Stegostoma tigrinum: one gene and its partner. The protein of the gene in region 1 purifies or fractionates together with the protein of each later gene. This does not show direct contact. Links are inferred from orthologs where the notes say so. Each region holds a gene or a part of one and is shown in the gene's direction. Other genes may lie near its edges.

What was found.
Region 2: the proteins of themis (region 1) and ptpn11a purify together in Homo sapiens (co-immunoprecipitation; 3 studies listed by BioGRID and IntAct, counting the BioPlex papers as one, with this or other methods). This does not show direct contact. The link is inferred for Stegostoma tigrinum from reciprocal best matches to the Homo sapiens genes THEMIS and PTPN11.

What each region holds. Positions count from the first base shown.
Region 1 is NC_081357.1:68,576,926-68,585,517, reverse strand, and holds the start of themis (protein THEMIS), read left to right. Parts: upstream 1-5,192; 5' UTR 5,193-5,532; coding exon 5,533-5,623; intron 5,624-8,592.
Region 2 is NC_081379.1:13,631,384-13,639,894, forward strand, and holds the start of ptpn11a (tyrosine-protein phosphatase non-receptor type 11), read left to right. Parts: upstream 1-5,293; 5' UTR 5,294-5,594; coding exon 5,595-5,608; intron 5,609-8,511. UniProt on the Homo sapiens protein: Acts downstream of various receptor and cytoplasmic protein tyrosine kinases to participate in the signal transduction from the cell surface to the nucleus. Positively regulates MAPK signal transduction pathway. Dephosphorylates GAB1, ARHGAP35 and EGFR.

The sequences.
Region 1 (8,592 bases):
TTACTGTCCCTTGTCCTGACTTTCATCTGAATATCATTTCTCATAGAAATTATCTCTACATCAACTCTATTGCTATACATCAAACACCATGGAATTTGGTAGCCAATCCACTTGTGTTTACTTGAAGGAATGGATTTGAGACAAACATATCAATTTGTTACATAATATCTAATTCCTAAAATCACCTACTGCTACCTTCCTTGTGTGCACAAAAGTTTTCTTAACATCCATTTGGTTTCTTTTTCTCTGTCACAATCATTGAAGAATTCTTTGTCTCTTGTACGAGGCCTCTGGACCACCCCCTAGATCTTCCACCACCTTTGTCATAGGAATTGAAAAATCATTTGCCAATACTTTTTAGTTCCAAAGAAGAGTCATGTTGCACTTCAAGCGTCAACTCTGTTTCCCTCTCTACAGGTGCTGCAAAACCTGAGTTTCTCCAGAATTTTCTGTTTGTGTTTTGGTAGTTGTTTCATTTTGATGGTCCACATTTATCACTCATCGTTATTGCTTCATTTGGTAGTTTGTGATGTCAGTCTGTCATTGTTCACTGCAGGTGTGCCGTTGGATCTGTGCCCACAAAATGGAAATGTTGATTTATTTAGAATTATTTCATTTAGTGATATCTGTTTGCTGTTTTAACCAACTGAATACATTCAGAATACATTTTCTGAAGAAGGGTCCCCACCCGAAACGTCAGCTTTCCTGCTCCTGTGATGCTGCTTGGCCTGCTGTGTTCATCCAGCTTCACACCTTGTTATCTCAGATTCTCCAGCATCAGCAGTTCCTACTATCTCTGAATACATTCTCCATCCATTTGTGAAAAGTAAACATATTTTAATTCCCCCCCTTTATCCTCTTTACTCACTTTTAAGTTGTTTTCTTTCATGCCAGATAGCTTTTTCCCAACCCCTCAATTTCCCAAATCCTCATTAAATTGTATTTTTTAAAAAAACCTCTTTCCTAGTCTGTTCATCTCTACAAAATCCCTACAGAGAGATTAACAACGGAGTGATTGTACATTCAGGGATGTACAACAATTTCTCTTCTCAAACAGTTAACATTGCAAGCTAATGCTGCGTACCACAGGGCATGAGCTTTACCCTTTCTAAAGTCAATACAAGTGGTGGTCCACAGTGTACACAGATATGTGTCGAATATGTTTATGGTTGATGCGCATTAGAATGTAATTTTTAGTTCAGATGTAAAATAATTGAAAAATCCTGATATTTTGTAATAATACTGAAATAAATGCAATTTAAACAAGCTTGGAGTTCAACGCTTAAAATGGAGTCACGTTAATTCAGTGATTAACAGCTAGCAAGATAAAATCATAAAACAGGTGCACTCACTGATGAAAATAATTTGAGGCATAACATTTGCAGTTATTACAGTAAACATAAGTTATCTATGTGGTTTCCTCAGAAAAATCTTGAAAGTGAAAAGTAAGTAACTTGCATTTTTACCTGGGTATGATGTGTGTTTCGTTATGCCATGGAGATGGGTCGAGTTTAGTGAAGTCCTTGGTCTTTGAATTTGTCTCTGTGAATTCAGTTTGTCCGTAAGGCTGACTGAGAGAAGCAGCTAACAGACAGTGTCAGGTGTGGAATCCAAAGTCATTAGATCTATTAAGATTAAGTTAGAGAGTTGCTTCACTAATGCTCAATGGAAGGGCCTCCATAAAACCTTGTACCTTGTTGACTAGCCCGAACTTCAGAGAAATTGAAATAAATTCAGGAGATGGAATGATGTACATTTTGAGTTGATCCCAAGAAAATTGAATGAACCTTAAAGATTTTGTGAGGCAACGGAGGGAGGCAAATGGGCAAGAGTAGTGCATTCCGAAGAGATAACATAGTTAGATATCAGTCTGCCTTTTCAGATAGCTATCTGTTGGATGCAGAAGTCACACATTTCCCATAACTAACTCAGAGATAGTAAGAACTGCAGAGACTGGAGTCAGAGGTAAAAGTGCGGAGCTGGAGGATCACAGCAAGCCATGCAGCATCCGAGGATTAGAAAAGATTTGTGTCGAGTAGAAAAGACTTTTGTCCTCTGCTTCTCTGATGCTGCTCTGATGTTCGTCCAGTTCCACACTGTGTTATTCTCTTTCCCATAACTGAGTTGATGTTTTATGAATGCCAGTTCAGCATGTTATATTTGCATTTTTAGCTGAGGGGCAACAAAACACTTCTGCTGTCCGGCACCATGCATTTGCTTTGTCTAATCAGCATCTCAGGAGCACAAAAGCTGACGTTTCGGGCCTAGACCCTTCATCAGAGAGGGGGATGGGGAGAGGGAACTGGAATAAATAGGGAGAGAGGGGGAGGCGGACCGAAGATGGAGAGAAAAGAAGATAGGTACAGTGGAGCGTATACGTGAGGAGGTAGGGAGGGGATAGGTCAGTCCAGGGGAGACGAACAGGTCAAGGAGGTGGGATGAGGTGGTAGGTAGGAAATGGAGGTGCGGCTTGAGGTGGGAGGATGGGATGGGTGAGAGGAAAACAGGTTAGGGAAGTGGAGACAGGCTGGGCTGGTTTTGGGATGCAGTGGGGGAGGGGGAGATTTTGAAGCTTGTGAAGTCCACATTGATACCATTGGGCTGCAGGGTTCCCAAGTGGAATATGAGTTGCTGTTCTTGCAACCTTCGGGTGGCATCATTATGGCACTGCAGGAGGCCCATAATGGACATGTCGTCTAAAGAAAGGGAGGGGGAGTTAAAATGGTTCACGACTGGGAGGTGCAGTTGTTTGTTGTGAACCGAGTGGAGGTGTTCTGCAAAGCGGTCCCCAAGCCTCTGCTTGGTTTCCCCAATGTAGAGGAAGCCACACCGGTTGCAATGGATACAATATACCACTGGCAGATGTGCAGGTGAACATTTGCTTGATATGGAAGGTCATCTTGGGGCCTGGGATCGGGGTGAGGGAGGAGTTGTGGGGGCAAGTGTAGCACTTCCTGCGGTTACAGGGGAAGGTGCCAGGTGTGGTGGGGTTGGAGGGGAGTGTGGAGCGGACAAGGGAGTCGCGGAGAGAGTGGTCTCTCCGGAAGGCAGACGAGGGTGGGGATGGAAAAATAGCTTGGGTGGTGGGGTCGGATTGTAGATGGCAGAAGTGTTGGAGGACACTACACAGGCCCCAAACCCCACCTCTTCCTCCATTACATTGATGACTGTATCAGCGGCGCCTCTTGCTCCCCAGAAGAGCTGGAACAGTTCATCCACTTCACCAAAACCTTCCAACCCAACCTCAAGTTCACCTGGGCCATCTCCAACACATCCCTCACCTTCCTGGACCCTTCAGTCTCCATCTGAGGCAACCAGCTTGTAACTGATGTCCATTTCAAGCCCACTGACTCCCACAGTTACCTAGAATGCACCTCCTCCCACCCATCCTCCTGCATAAATTCCATGCCCTATTCCCAATTCCTTCGCCTCCACCGCATCTGCTCCCAGGATGAAGCATTCCACTCCCGCACATCCCAGAAGTCCACGTTCTTCAAGGGCCGCAACTTCACCCTCGCAGTGGTCGAGAACGCCCTTGACCGCATCTCCTGCATTTCCCGCAACATATCCCTCGCACCCCGCCCCCGCCACAACCGCTCCCAGAGACTCCCCTCGTTCTCACATAGCACCCCACCAACCTCCGGATACAACGCATCATCCTCCGACACTTGCACCATCTACAATCCGACCCCACCACCCAAGCTATTTTTCCATCCCCACCCTTGTCTGCCTTCCGGAGAGACCACTCTCTCCAACCCCACCACACCCGGCACCTTCCCCTGCAACCACAGGAAGTGCTACACTTGCCCCCCCACACCTACTCCCTCACCCCTATCCCAGACCCCAAGATGACCTTCCATATCAAGCAGATGTTCACCTGCACATCTGCCAATGTGGAATATTGTGTCCATTGTACCTGGTGTGCCTTCCTCTACATTGGGGAAACCAAGCAGAGGCTTGGGGACCGCTTTGCAGAACACCTCCGCTCAGTTCGCACCAAACAACTGCACCTCCCAGTCGCGAACCATTTCAACTTCCCTTCCCATTCCTCAGACAACATGTCCATCATGGGCCTCCTGTAGTGCCACAATGATGCCACCCGAAGGTTGCAGGAACAGCAACTCATATTCCACTTGGGAACCCTGCAGCCCAGTGGTATGAATGTGGACTTCACCAGCTTCAAAATCTCCCCTCCCCTCCCCCCACTGCATCCCAAAACTAGCCCAGCCTGTCTCTGCCTCCCTAACCTGTTCTTCCTCTCACCCATCCCATCCTCCCACCTCAAGCCGCACTTCCATTTCCTACCTACCACCTCATCCCGCCTCCTTGAACTGTCCGTCTCCTCTGGACTGACCTATCCCCTCCCTACCTCCCCACCTATACTCTCCTCTCTACCTATCTTCTTTTCTCTCCATCTTCGATCCGCCTCCCCCTCTCTCCCTATTTATTTCAGAATCGTCACCCCATTCCCCCTTTTCTGATGAAGGGTCTAGACCCGAAACGTCAGCTTTTGTGCTCCTGAGATGCTGCTTGGCCTGCTGTGTTCATCCAGCTCCACACTTTGTTATCTTGGATTCTCCAGCATCTGCAATTCCCGTTATCACTGCTTTGTCTAATCCGCAGGCTCTGGCAGGAAGGAGACCGTTTGTGGAAGCATTGATGGATGAAATTGCGTGGCGCTGTAGAGTGTGGGATCTGTGTTTGCACAAACATGAAACCACAGCGCCCACCTCACTCGCAATTCAAAGTGTCAAACTCCTCCTGAATTTTCATTAAACATATCTTAGTCCCAGTTATTATTTTGAAGTCTGCGCACCCAACGTCTTGGTCCGAAGTGATTTGATATATAGTGGGAGATGTCAGCACCCTCTTTTCTAAGTTTCCCGATTACATTTTAAATTAAGATTCCTGTCATTTCTGATTTTATTTTAGGAAAAAATCAGTCTTTAATATCTGGAAATCATCAACCACTCATTAGAATCAACAAGTAGCATAAAAGCTGAACAAGTCTGAATGTGAACATAAATGTTACGGCCACACTGGGATACCTATCTCTTTCAGTGTGAAATAAAAACAACCTTTTGAGGAAGGCTGCAAACGTTGACAATATGCGAGTTTGCCTATTGTGTTTCCGGGGTTGCCGCCTACTATTGTTCTGCATTTTGCACATTCGGCTGTCGTGGTGATGAACTGATTCATTCGTTGAGATTTGGAAAGCAATCTCTGATGGTGGAACATTTTGCGAAACTATTCTCAGACCGTGAGTGAGAGTAGGATGGCACAAGGAACTGCAGTCTAACCTTGCGCTATCTGGGAACACTGACCTGCTTCCACTAGATAGGGAGATTCATGTCTTAAACTGGACAGAGAGGACTGACCTGTCTATAGTGGGCAGTGATATTTAGCTCACATTTAGTGATATTTACCCGTATTCTAGTGGGCAGGGAAACTGACTGACTAGGAGCACCTTGAAACATGGACTGCAGTCTTCGACGCTGATGCTCTGCAGTTTAGTGAGGAAATTTCAATGCAATGGCGCAAACTCTCGAGAGTTTCATCGACTCGCTCGATCCCTTGACTCTTCCGAGAATACTACAGATCCAGTCTGGGATTTACTTTCAAGGTAAAGATTGGATTTTAGACGGTGCGATTTTCCGGTTAATTTGAGCTTGTAAAACTTTATTTTTATAAACCTTTTTGCCTAATGCATCATTTCTGGCGTTTATTTGACTGAATAAAGCGTGAGACTTTTCGATGCAACAAACCTCACGACGCTGGAACTTTGCAGAGTTTTCAGATATTTTGCAGCACCTTCAGTTATCTCAAAACCACGTGTCGGCTGAATCCTGATACTTTTTTATCGATCTATTTCTCTATCAAATAGTTAGCCAGTGATACCCTCAGTTTGAGTAAAATGTTACAATACTCAACAATATGTAAGCACGTTAGACGGGTTACGCTTTCTGGAAGATGCATTTGACTTTTTGCATCGTTCAAATGCATTGCTTAATGCAAAATTAAGTTTTTCACGTTTTTCAAACTAAAATAAGCTTTCCTCTGAAAGGCGAACATAAGTGCTTAAAATGCAGTGAAGTTTGACTCAGGAGTTTATTTGAGATTTGATTTGCTGAAAAAATAGGAAAGAAGGCTACCATTATCTTTTGTTTGAATATTTATTATTTTAATAAAGTAAATCTAGTAATTTCGGTCAATATTTGGAAGAGGGTGATTGTAAAGTTATTGGAAACCACGTTCACTGGGAGTTTGTATGCAATGCAATCAGTACCGGTTTAAACAACGCCATTGTTGAGCGCTCAGTTAATTCTGGAAATCGTTCTCGGTTTAAAAAAAACAATCCATTTCACGAATATGACATTTCATTTCAGTTAGACGAAATTATATATGAATCCCTGTCCTGAGAGATGTTTCTATACGTATGAAGGATTGCTTCAATGTATAACAAAATTAGTAGTTTATTTCATACCTTCACAGAAGTGTTACAGTTCAGAAAAGTCTCTTTAAACGACTATTATTATCTAATTCCAATCTCCTGCTTTCTCCCCATTGTCTTGCGCACTGTTTCTATACATACATCTAACGTTTTCATGGATGTCTCAATTGAAACTGTGTCTACCACATTTTCAAGCAGCTTTCTTTCCAAGGAGAACTGTCCCAACTTTTTGATCTGTCCCTGTAACTGAAGTTTCTCCTGAAACCTTTCTTGTAAATCATTTCTGCACTCTATCCAAAGTGTTTGCATCTTTCCAATAATATGGTGCTCACAACAGTACACAGTACTTAAGGTGAGGTATGCTTTATTTACTGCTGGTCTTCACTAGTCCTGCTACCTTCAAAGACCTATGCACAAAGAGATCCAAGTGCCTCTGCTCCTGCACCCTCCTTTGGAATATACCACCTATTTTATATTCTTATAGAATCATACAGCAAGGAAATAGACCCTTTGGTCCAACCTTGTTCCCAAACTAATCTAGCCCGACCTGCCTGAGCTTGGTCCATATCCCTCCAAACCTTTCCTATCCATGAACTTATCCAAATGTCCTTTATATGTTCTAACTGTACTTGCATCCATCACTTTCTCTGGCAGTTCATACCACACACACACGACTCTCCTTTTTAAAAGTTTCTCCTCTCACCTTAAAAATATGCTCCCTAGTTTTAAAATCCCCCACCCTGGGGAAAAGACCCTTGCCAGTCTATACCCCACATGATTTTATAAACCTGTATAAGATCACCCCTCAACCTCCTACGCTCCAGTGAAAAAAGCACCAGTCTTTCCAGCCTATTTTTATAACTCAAACCCTCCATTCCTGGCAACGTCCTGGTAAACATTTTCTGAATGGTTTCTAGTTTAATAATATTTTTCCTGTACAGGGGTGACCAGAACCGTGCACAGCACTACAGAAGCATCTTCACAAACGTCTTGCACAACCGCCACATGACGTCCCTTCTGCAATACCCAAAAGGTCTGAGCAATGAAAGCAAGCATGCTAACTGTTTGCTTAACCACCTTAATCTAACTGTGATGCAAATTTCAAAGAATATTGTTTCTGAACCCTTAGGTCTCTCTGCTCTACAATACTACCTAGGGCCCTACCATTAATTGTCAAAATGCTGTTCTTGTTTGTATTACCAAAATGCAATACCTGATATTTACCCAACTCGATCTGCTTTTCCTTATCTCATTGAATCACTTGGTCAAAATCTCTTTATAATCTTCTTCACTGTCCACTACACCGCCAATTTCGGTATCTTCTGCAAACTTACTCACCATGTCTCCTGTATTCTCATCCAAATCACTTATATAACTGACAAACAAAAGTTGTCCCAGCACCGGACCCTGAGGAATACCACTGGTCACAGACCTGCAATCTGAAAAACGGCTCTCCACCACCATCCTCTGTCTCCTACCTTAAAGCCAAATTCATATCCAATTAGGGAACAACGGATGAATAAAGATATTGAAGCTCTAGTCAAGAATAAAAAAGAATTCTATAAGATCACACTGAATCCAATGTGATCCAACTTTACAGATTAGTTTACCATGTGGAACTGTGACAAAAGCTTTACTAAAGTCTGAGTAAACAAAGCCTATCACTGTACTCTCATAAGCCTTTTTGGTGACTTCATTCAAAAATTTGATCAAGTACGATAGTATTTTCCTTGCACAAAGCCATGTTGACTATCTCTAATCAATCCTTGCCTCCCCAAATGCATGTTAATCCTACCTTTCACAATCACCTCCAATAACGTAACCACCACTGATGTCAGACTAGGTCTGTACTTTCCAGGTTTTTCCTTACAGCCTTTCTTAAATAAAGACACAAAGTTAGCCACCCTCTAGTCCTCTGCTCCTTCACCTGTGTTTGTAAATGATATAAATATTTCTGCTAGAGGCCCTGCAATTTCCTCCCTAACTTTCCACAATGTCCTGTGATACACTTGATTAGGTCCTGGAGGTTTATCTACTTTTATGTTTTCTAAGACCTCCGACACTACTACTTCTGTAATGTGAATGATTTTTCAATACATCAATATTTGTTTCCCTGAGTTCTCTAGCTTCCATTTCTTTCT
Region 2 (8,511 bases), on another chromosome or scaffold:
TATAAAAACCTTTAAGATTTTCCTTAATTCTGTTTGCTAATGACTTTTCATGATCCCTCTTAGCCCTTCTACTCACTTGCCCAAGTTCTTTCCTATTTTCCTGATATACACTGAGAGGGTTTCATAAGTTCCCATCCTCCGAGACCTTACGCATACTTCCTTTCTGAAGGTCATAATATCCCTGGTCATCCAAGACTCACATAACCTACCAAATGTATCCTTTATTCGCATAGGGAAGTGCCACTCGAACTCTTACCTAACGCAGTTTGAAATAGTCCCACATGTCCAATGTAGATTTACTCTCAAATAGCTGCCTCATTGTCACAGTTCGCCTTACCCCAAATAAACACCTTCACCCAAGGACTGCTGTTATCCCTATCCATGATTATCTTCAAACTCACTGTGCAATGGTCACCACTACTGATATGCTCCCCCATTGAAACTTCACTCACCTGATGCGGCTCAGGTCCCAAAACCTGGTCCAGTATAACCCCTTGCCTGGTTGAACTGCTTACGTATTGTGCCACGAATTCTCCCGAACGGTCCTTACAAAATTCTTCCCCATCCAAGTCCCTAGCACATGGGGAGTCCTAGTCAATACAGGGGAAGTTAAAAAGAAAACAAAAAAGTCACCCACCACAACAACCTTGCTGTTTTTACATCTTTCCAAAATCTGTCCACATTCTCTTCTCTATCTCCCACTGGCTGGTCAGTGACCTGTAGTATATCCCCAGCACTGCTATTTCACCTTTCCTATTCCTGGGTTCTCCCCACATTGCCTTGCTGCACAACTCCTCTGATGCATCTTCTCCCAGTACAACAGATACTCCTTTGCCAGGAATACTTCCCCACCATTTACCTCCATCACTTACGAAACATGGGAACATTCAGCTATCTCTTTTTCAGCCCAATCTCTAAATTGCAATAATGTAATTGTTCCAAGTACTAACCAAGAGGAGGGGAAGCAGGTGGAATTTAAGGGAATGTTAGAGAGACAGAGTAATAAACTCAAATGTCACAACAATAGGCAAAGGGAGAGTTCACGTTGTAGAGACAGCTAGGTGCAGATTAGATGTTTAACAGTAGCTGTTAAGAGCATAATTAAGAGGTCAGCACTGCGGCATGCAAAACCTAAAAACAATGGAGAGAGGGCAGGAAACAAAATGGAGGAGAGAGTTCACGGTCTGAAATTATTCAATGCAACATCAAATCTAAAAGGCCTAAGTCGAATAATACAAAGGCCTTCAGATGCTGGAGGTCTAAAACAAACAAATAGCTGGAGAAACTCAGCATCTGAAAATGGTGTTAACGTTGAGTCCAGTGACTTCTTTAGGCCTAAATGGAAAATGCTCCAGCTTGCAATGGGTTTCACTCAGACACTACAGTTGACCTAGGGCAAAAGAAATTCTAAGAGCTAAATGGTGTACTTGTGTCAAGTGACAGAAGGTTGGTGTCATGCTTGCAAACCGAGGTGCGTTCTGCAAAGTGGTGTCCCCAGCGAAGTGGAGGCTACATTATAAGCATTGAAGCCAGTAGACTAGATTGAAAAAAGAAAGCACAAGTAGATTTACATCTCCTGAAAGAAATATTAAGGGCTTTGGACAGTAGGAGAGTGGTGATAAAACAATGTATTGCATTTCCTGCCATTTATAAAAAAGTGCTTCGGGAGGGAGATGAAGAGTTGGGGCAATAAAGGGATGCCAGAATGTCAAAGGTAACGGTCCCTTCAAAATAGTGAGAGCAAATGTAGCCGAGGTAGCTGTGGGAGTTGGTGGATTTGTAACTAATATTAGTAGACAGTCTATCCCTGCAAGAGGGGGCAAAGACAGAAAAATTAAGGATTAAAGGAAAGAGTCAGAGATGGGCCAGGTGAACTTGAAAGACTAGAAATTGAAAGCAAAATGGATTAACTTTTCCAGTTCTGGGTGACAGCAGGCACTGATACAGTCAAAGTACTAGAGAAAGAGTTACGTGAGGATACCCCCAGACTGGGAAAAAAACAAAACCCATAAAAACACAAAGTATCACTTGAGCGCACATGGATAAGTGGCCACGTGGTATTTGAAACTCTCATGGCCAATACAAAAGATGGAGCTCTGAACTGGGGGGGGGGGGGGGGGGGGGGGGGGGGGGGGGGGCAGCAGTGAGCCTATTTAAAACTCAGGTAGATTACCAGAAACTTACAGCACATCAGAAATGAAAATTTAAGACAAAAAAGTGACATACCCGAAAAGTGAAGACTAAGCAGGGCATATCATGACTTGATAAAAAGTACACATAATAGAAATTGCAAAGTATACTGGTCAGAGAGAAGGTAAACATGAATCTCACTTCAAAACTCTATCAGCATTCACATCAAAGGATAAGAACTCAAAAAGCTGACACTAATTTAGTGTTAAACTGCATCTGGAGTTCCCTATGTCCAGTTGGGGAACAATTCTCTGGAACTACAGAAACAGAAACTGGATCAATTCCAAGAAGAATGGGTAAAGCAGGAAGTTGAAAAGCTGGAAGAAAGGCACAAGAGTGGCTGCACGAAAAACTTGCACTGCAGAACAATAAAGCAGAACTTGAAGTATTTAAAGAGCAACTGCAGTGTGCTGTTTAGCTCAGAGACAACATTTTACAGCCAAAAAATACTTGTGCTTAAAGGAAGAGAACAAGTTAATAAACTGTAAAGTGTTCATTTTTAAAATATGATTAACATTGATCTTTAGGAAAACAGATAACTGGAACTGTTACACTAATATAAAGGCAGACCATTTTTCTTTTAATTAATAGGACATTGTTTCTGTTGGAGAAAGTAATAGGAACTAATTGCTGAATGTGCAAGGGGACCTCACTGTTCTAACTTTGTTAAAAATTCATCGGAGGGATGAGGGCGTTGCTGGCTAGGCAGCATTTATTGTCCATCCCTAATTGCCCAGAAGGCAGTTAAGAGTCAACCACATTGCTGTAGGTCTGGAATCACATGTAGGCCAGACCAGCTAAGGGCGGCAGTTTCCTTCCCTAAAGGAAATCAGTGGACCAGATGGGGTTTTTCCAGCAAATCGACAATGGATCCACAGTCATCATTAGACTCAATTCCAGATATTTATTGAATTCAAATTCCACCATCTATGGCAGGATTCAAACCCAGGTCCCCAGAAGGTTATCTGGGTCTCTGAATTAACAGTGTAGCAATAACATCACTAGGCCATCACCTCCCCATAACTTAGTCATGTGACCAATGGACTGCTATTGTGTTAGGTACATGGAGATGCAAGAAATAAAATGGAGTTCCATCAAGTCTATAGTCTAAAGTATCATCATTTTGACCTTGTGGGAATCAAAAGACTGACTCAATGCTACCCAACTCCCTTACCTCACTAAAATAAAATTATAGATGCTGGAAATCTGAAACAAATCAAAACAAATTACTGGAGAAGGTCCACAGGTCTGGCAACATCTGTGCACAAAAAAGTCAACTTTTCAGGCCCAATGACTCATCTTCAGGACTGACTGTCACAGGGAAAATGGGATTACATCACGCTGAAAACAGGGGCTGGGGAATAAACAGCAGGTAGAGATGCACCCAGAACAGAACAGTAGTTGGCAGACAAAGGAATGAGTGGATAGTCACCTGTGTTCTGTCCAAAGAAAACCAAAATGACCCTGAGCTTCAAGGCACAACTGTGTGCTCTGGCTAACATTTCTCCCAGGGGTGCTGCAGTGCTCCAGCTGGAAGAACTGCATTTCATTTTCTGCTTGGGGAACCTGCAGGCTTCAGAACTCAATACAGAGTTCACTAATCATAAGGCCCGAGCACCTTCTTCCATGTCTTTTACATCCCTCACACAACCAGCCCCACCTTGTCATCACTTTGGCTGCTTTCATCACAGCCAATCCATTTTTGGCTTTAGTAGCTATTTCCAATGCTGACCATTATCCATTTGTTTAATTATCCAAAAGCTGTTCTTTCTCTGGGCCTCATCTCCACCTCCTTCCCCTCTCCCATCTCCCACATATATGCCAGCTTTTCCCAGCTACAATTAGTTGTGAACCTGTTTTCTCACCACAAATGGTACCAGACCCAGCTGAATTTGTTCCTTTGTTTGCTGTTTTGCCCTGCTTCATTTATGCTGTTATACTTACCCAAGCCCTGAACCAAATAATAAAGTAGACCCAGAACCTCACTGCTCTATTAGATCAAGATCTGACCTACAATGCACTCCTTTGCCACAATTCTGTCTGAATTAGGTTCTCATACTTTTAAACTTTTTTTCTATTTTCCTTTTCATGACCAAATTGATTCAGCTTCCAATGTTTGAAAAAGAAAATTCAATTTGCTAACTTTGTTGTGACAAAATTGTAACAAGTGTCACAAAACCGTCTTTATGGAACCACGGAAAAGTTGTAGCATAGAAAGCGGCCATTCAGCCCGTCACGTTCACGGCAGTTGAGAGAAAACTATCCCATCTTCCAGCACATTCAAAGAAAAACCGTCCAGATAGTTTGAAGGTTTCTGAAACAAGAACCCGAAGTAGTTAAATTCAGCACCTCTAACATTATCTGCTGAGAGAGAAGCAGCGCTACTGTTCAGTGAACCTTCTTCAGAAATAGACAGCAACGTTCTTCGAAACTAATTCTGATGAAGGCTCACCAGGCTAGAAGCGATAACTGTTTTCCTCTTACTCCTCAGATGCTGCCAGAGCCACTAACTTTCTCCAGCTTTTGCTTTTTGGGGGGGCATTACATTATCGGAGGTTTCGGCCTCGACCACCAGAATGGGTGGAACATTCTAGACCATGCCTCCACCTACCGTGAAACATTTCTCCCCACATACCGCCCTAATCCTTTTACTTTAGATCAATTAACCCCGATTAATGAATGAATAAATTCAAACCAGTAACGACCTGAATTATTCTCAATCAAACGTGGGCTGAACAGTCTTGGTTTCTGAAGTGACAAAGCCTCTCCGGGTTGCAATGCCTCATAACACACCCCCACTTCCAGAGGTTCACAATACGCATGCGAAAAACTCTGCGCGCGCGCACTTTATGACACGTCCTGCCAATAATAAACATGGCGGCCCCCAAATCGGCTCAGTGAACTGGTCTGGTGGAGTGACGTCACCGGGTCTTCGTGTGGGTTTGGGAACAAGAAATGCAAATTTTACACATGCGCGCCGGAGAGTTTCGGGGTGTTAACTCGACATTCTCTGCCCTAGCGTGATAATTCATTATTCTTTCGATGTCTACTCTCAGCCTTGCAGGGAAAGGGGACGCCGCTGCGTCATATCCGTGCGCGGGTCGGTGTGTTGGAGACGTAGATTTCCAGCGCCGTAGGCCGGGAGGGGGTAGGTGGAGATGACTTTTTTCCCCCCGCGACGCAGTCGCTGCGTTTCTAGTTAGTTCCTCAGCTGGGTAGGGAGAGACACACACACACAGAGACACAGACGCTGGGCGGGAAGTGCCTGAGATCGAGTTAGGTCCTCTTGCCCCATAGGAGCTGCCGCAGAGGCAGAGTGCCTACCAACTCTCGCACCCATCACCGGCGGAGGCAGAAAAGAACCGGCAGGCCAGTGTGAGAGGGAGTGCCCTCCGTCCATCACCATGACATCCCGAAGGTGGGTGAGCGGGTGTATGAGGGAAGAATGGGTGTATTGGTGAGGGGAGGCGGGTGGGAATACTGCGGGTATTGGGCGGAGACTGTGGCTATGCCACAACAGGGGGAATCTGTGAAATATGGAACTCGCTGGGGAGTGCTGACATTCAATGATAACCTGGCCTGAACTTAAGGAAGCCTGAGGGAGCAGAGGGGAAGTTTCACAAATGGGCTGTAGCCAGTCACTGAACAAAAATACGGCGCTTGGAGTATACAGCTAGGCTCAAACATTGCTGTCAATCCCTCACTGACCTCTGCGACAGCTACCTGTACTTAAAAGTCGTTGGTCAAAGACTGGTGTGCTGTGTTGACGATTGTATTGATTTTGCATATTCACCAATCGCGGATGAATGTGCAAACATAACAGTAAAACTAAGGATAGGTGACTATATCCCAACAAGTAGAACACTCGTAATGCTGATTTGGAAGCTTTTCGTCTGTACGATGCCTTAAGGTGTATATATGCACTTGCCCACAAGGGCAGAAAAGAGCCCAGTGTTGTGTTGATAACAGGAGATGCGAATGGGAGGGATCAGAGCTTGTGTGAAAATACTGTTTTTTTTTTGTTTAATTCCAAAGATATTCACTAAGGATTGTGGAATAAGGTACTGAGCAGCCTCTCTCAAAGCTATTTTGTAAGGCAAGATTCATCACGTTGAGGGATTTGGATTTATGAAACAAATTTAATTTGGTCAGATTATTCTAAAACTGTGCCTGATGCAAAGAAATTAAAATTAAATATTAAAAATTTAAATTAAATATTAAAACTAATATGCAAACTTCAGGGCTAAGGTAAGAAAAGGCAATGATTTTTAAATGTGAAATCTAAAAATGTGAAATTGAAGTTAAATTATTTTTCCTAATTACTCTGAACTCTGTCAAGGAGGGACAGTTCATTTTATCTGTTTTTTTTCTGAAAACTGAAATGCTGCCTTTTTTATAGAGCACTGATTGGATCATTATGTGAAGGTGTTTGGCAAAGGACCTTCATGGATTGCAATGAAGAGGAACAAGAATAGTTCTAGTTTAAACATTAAAGTGCGAATTAAATATCTAAAGTCATTGTCAGAGGAAAAAGAGATCTGAGATGAGGTATGGTCAAGGCCTTAGTGATAGCTAGACATAACTGGTAAAATGGAGTATATGCTTTAATCTAGGACCAGAAGGCAAAACTACAAAATTATCAAGATGTTAGTGATCCCCACAGCTTTCATAAGCTTTCTTGCAACCCGTGTCTCATTTGGTCAAAAGACGTGTTGTTGCCTCCAACTGAAAGCCATTTGTTCCACGTCATCTGAATTTCTTGAAACCCTGCCTAGATGAAGATTTAAATAGGCAGAATTATCTTGGATTAACTAAAGTTGACGATAATTGTGCTGTCTACAAAAAATAACTTTAGGCCATGGGGTGTTACTTTCAGAGTGTAGCCTTCTGAGTAAAATTGTATTCCCTTCAACTGTTGGATCTTGCTTCCTTGTTTAGGGTGTCAGGGTAAAATGTCAGTACTTTTACTTCTTGGAAATACTGACTGTGGTTGCATTGAACTGCCACAGGAACTTCAGTTATGTCAAGGTTTAATAGTACAATTCATGTGGAAGTGTGGGGTTGATTCAGCCTTTTTCAATTGCACATTTTTCCAAACATGGTACATAGCAGACCCACCCACATTTACTGATATGGAGCATTGCTAGACAGAGAAAAGGATCAGAATGAAAGGAAATGACACTGCATGTTGTATGCAGAAAAACATGAGTGAACGAGGGTCACATTCACATGTTACTGCAAAAGGACCGGCACATAGCAGATTGGCCAAAGAGGGTGAGAACATCTAACAGGTAATGCTTTTGTGATGGTACAGAGATAATGACAGCACTGAGCAGGAAGAGTTGCTATACAACTGTGTAGAAACAACAACTACTGATGTTTGTAAAGTGCTTTTGAATGTAGTAAAATGTCCCATGCTGTTCACATAAATTTGACACCATGCAGTATAAGAGATATTGGGGTAGGTGACCAAAATCTTTGTCAAAGAGATCATAAGGAAGCCGAAATATAGTGAAATGGGGTCTTTGGCTACTGAAATTTTGATCATCAGTGGTGGCTTGATTTAAAATCAGGAATGCTCAAGAAACTGGAATCTGAAGATTACAATTAGTCAGAAGGTTGTAGTGCTGGGGAAGATTACAGATCTTCTAATTTATGAATCAGAGGCAAGACCATGAAGGGATTTGAAAATAATTAAAATTTTACAGGGGCCAATGTGTTTCAGTTAGTGGGAAGGTGATGATTGAACTGGATTTGGTGCAAGTTAGGACATCAGCCATCGAGTTTAGGATTCCTTGAGTTTACAGAATGTAAGAAGCCAGCTAATGATCTGTTGAAATACCTTTTATAGTAATAAAGGTATCATTGAGAGATTCTGCAGCAGATGAACTGAGGCAGCAGCAGAACTAGGTGATGTCTTGGAATGCAAATGAGTGATATTAGTGATGTGGTTGTATGGTCGGAAGCACATCTTGGAGTCAAATGTAACACCATGGTTGCAAACATTTTGGTTTACAAGTACTATGCGCAGTTTTGGCCTTACTTGAGGAGGGATCGAGTTGCATTGGAGACAGTTCCGAGGAGGTTCACTCGATTGATCCTAGAGATGAGGGGTTTGTCACATGAAAGAGAGATTGACCGGGTTAGACCTGTGCTTTCTGGATTTTTAGAGAGTGAGAGGAAACCTTATTAAGGTATAATAGATGCTAAAGGGGATTGCCAAAGTGGATGTAGAGGATCTTTTCTCTCGTGGGCAATTTATAATGAGAAGTCACAGTTTTAGGATAAGGAGTGACAAACTTAAAACAGACGACAAATTAC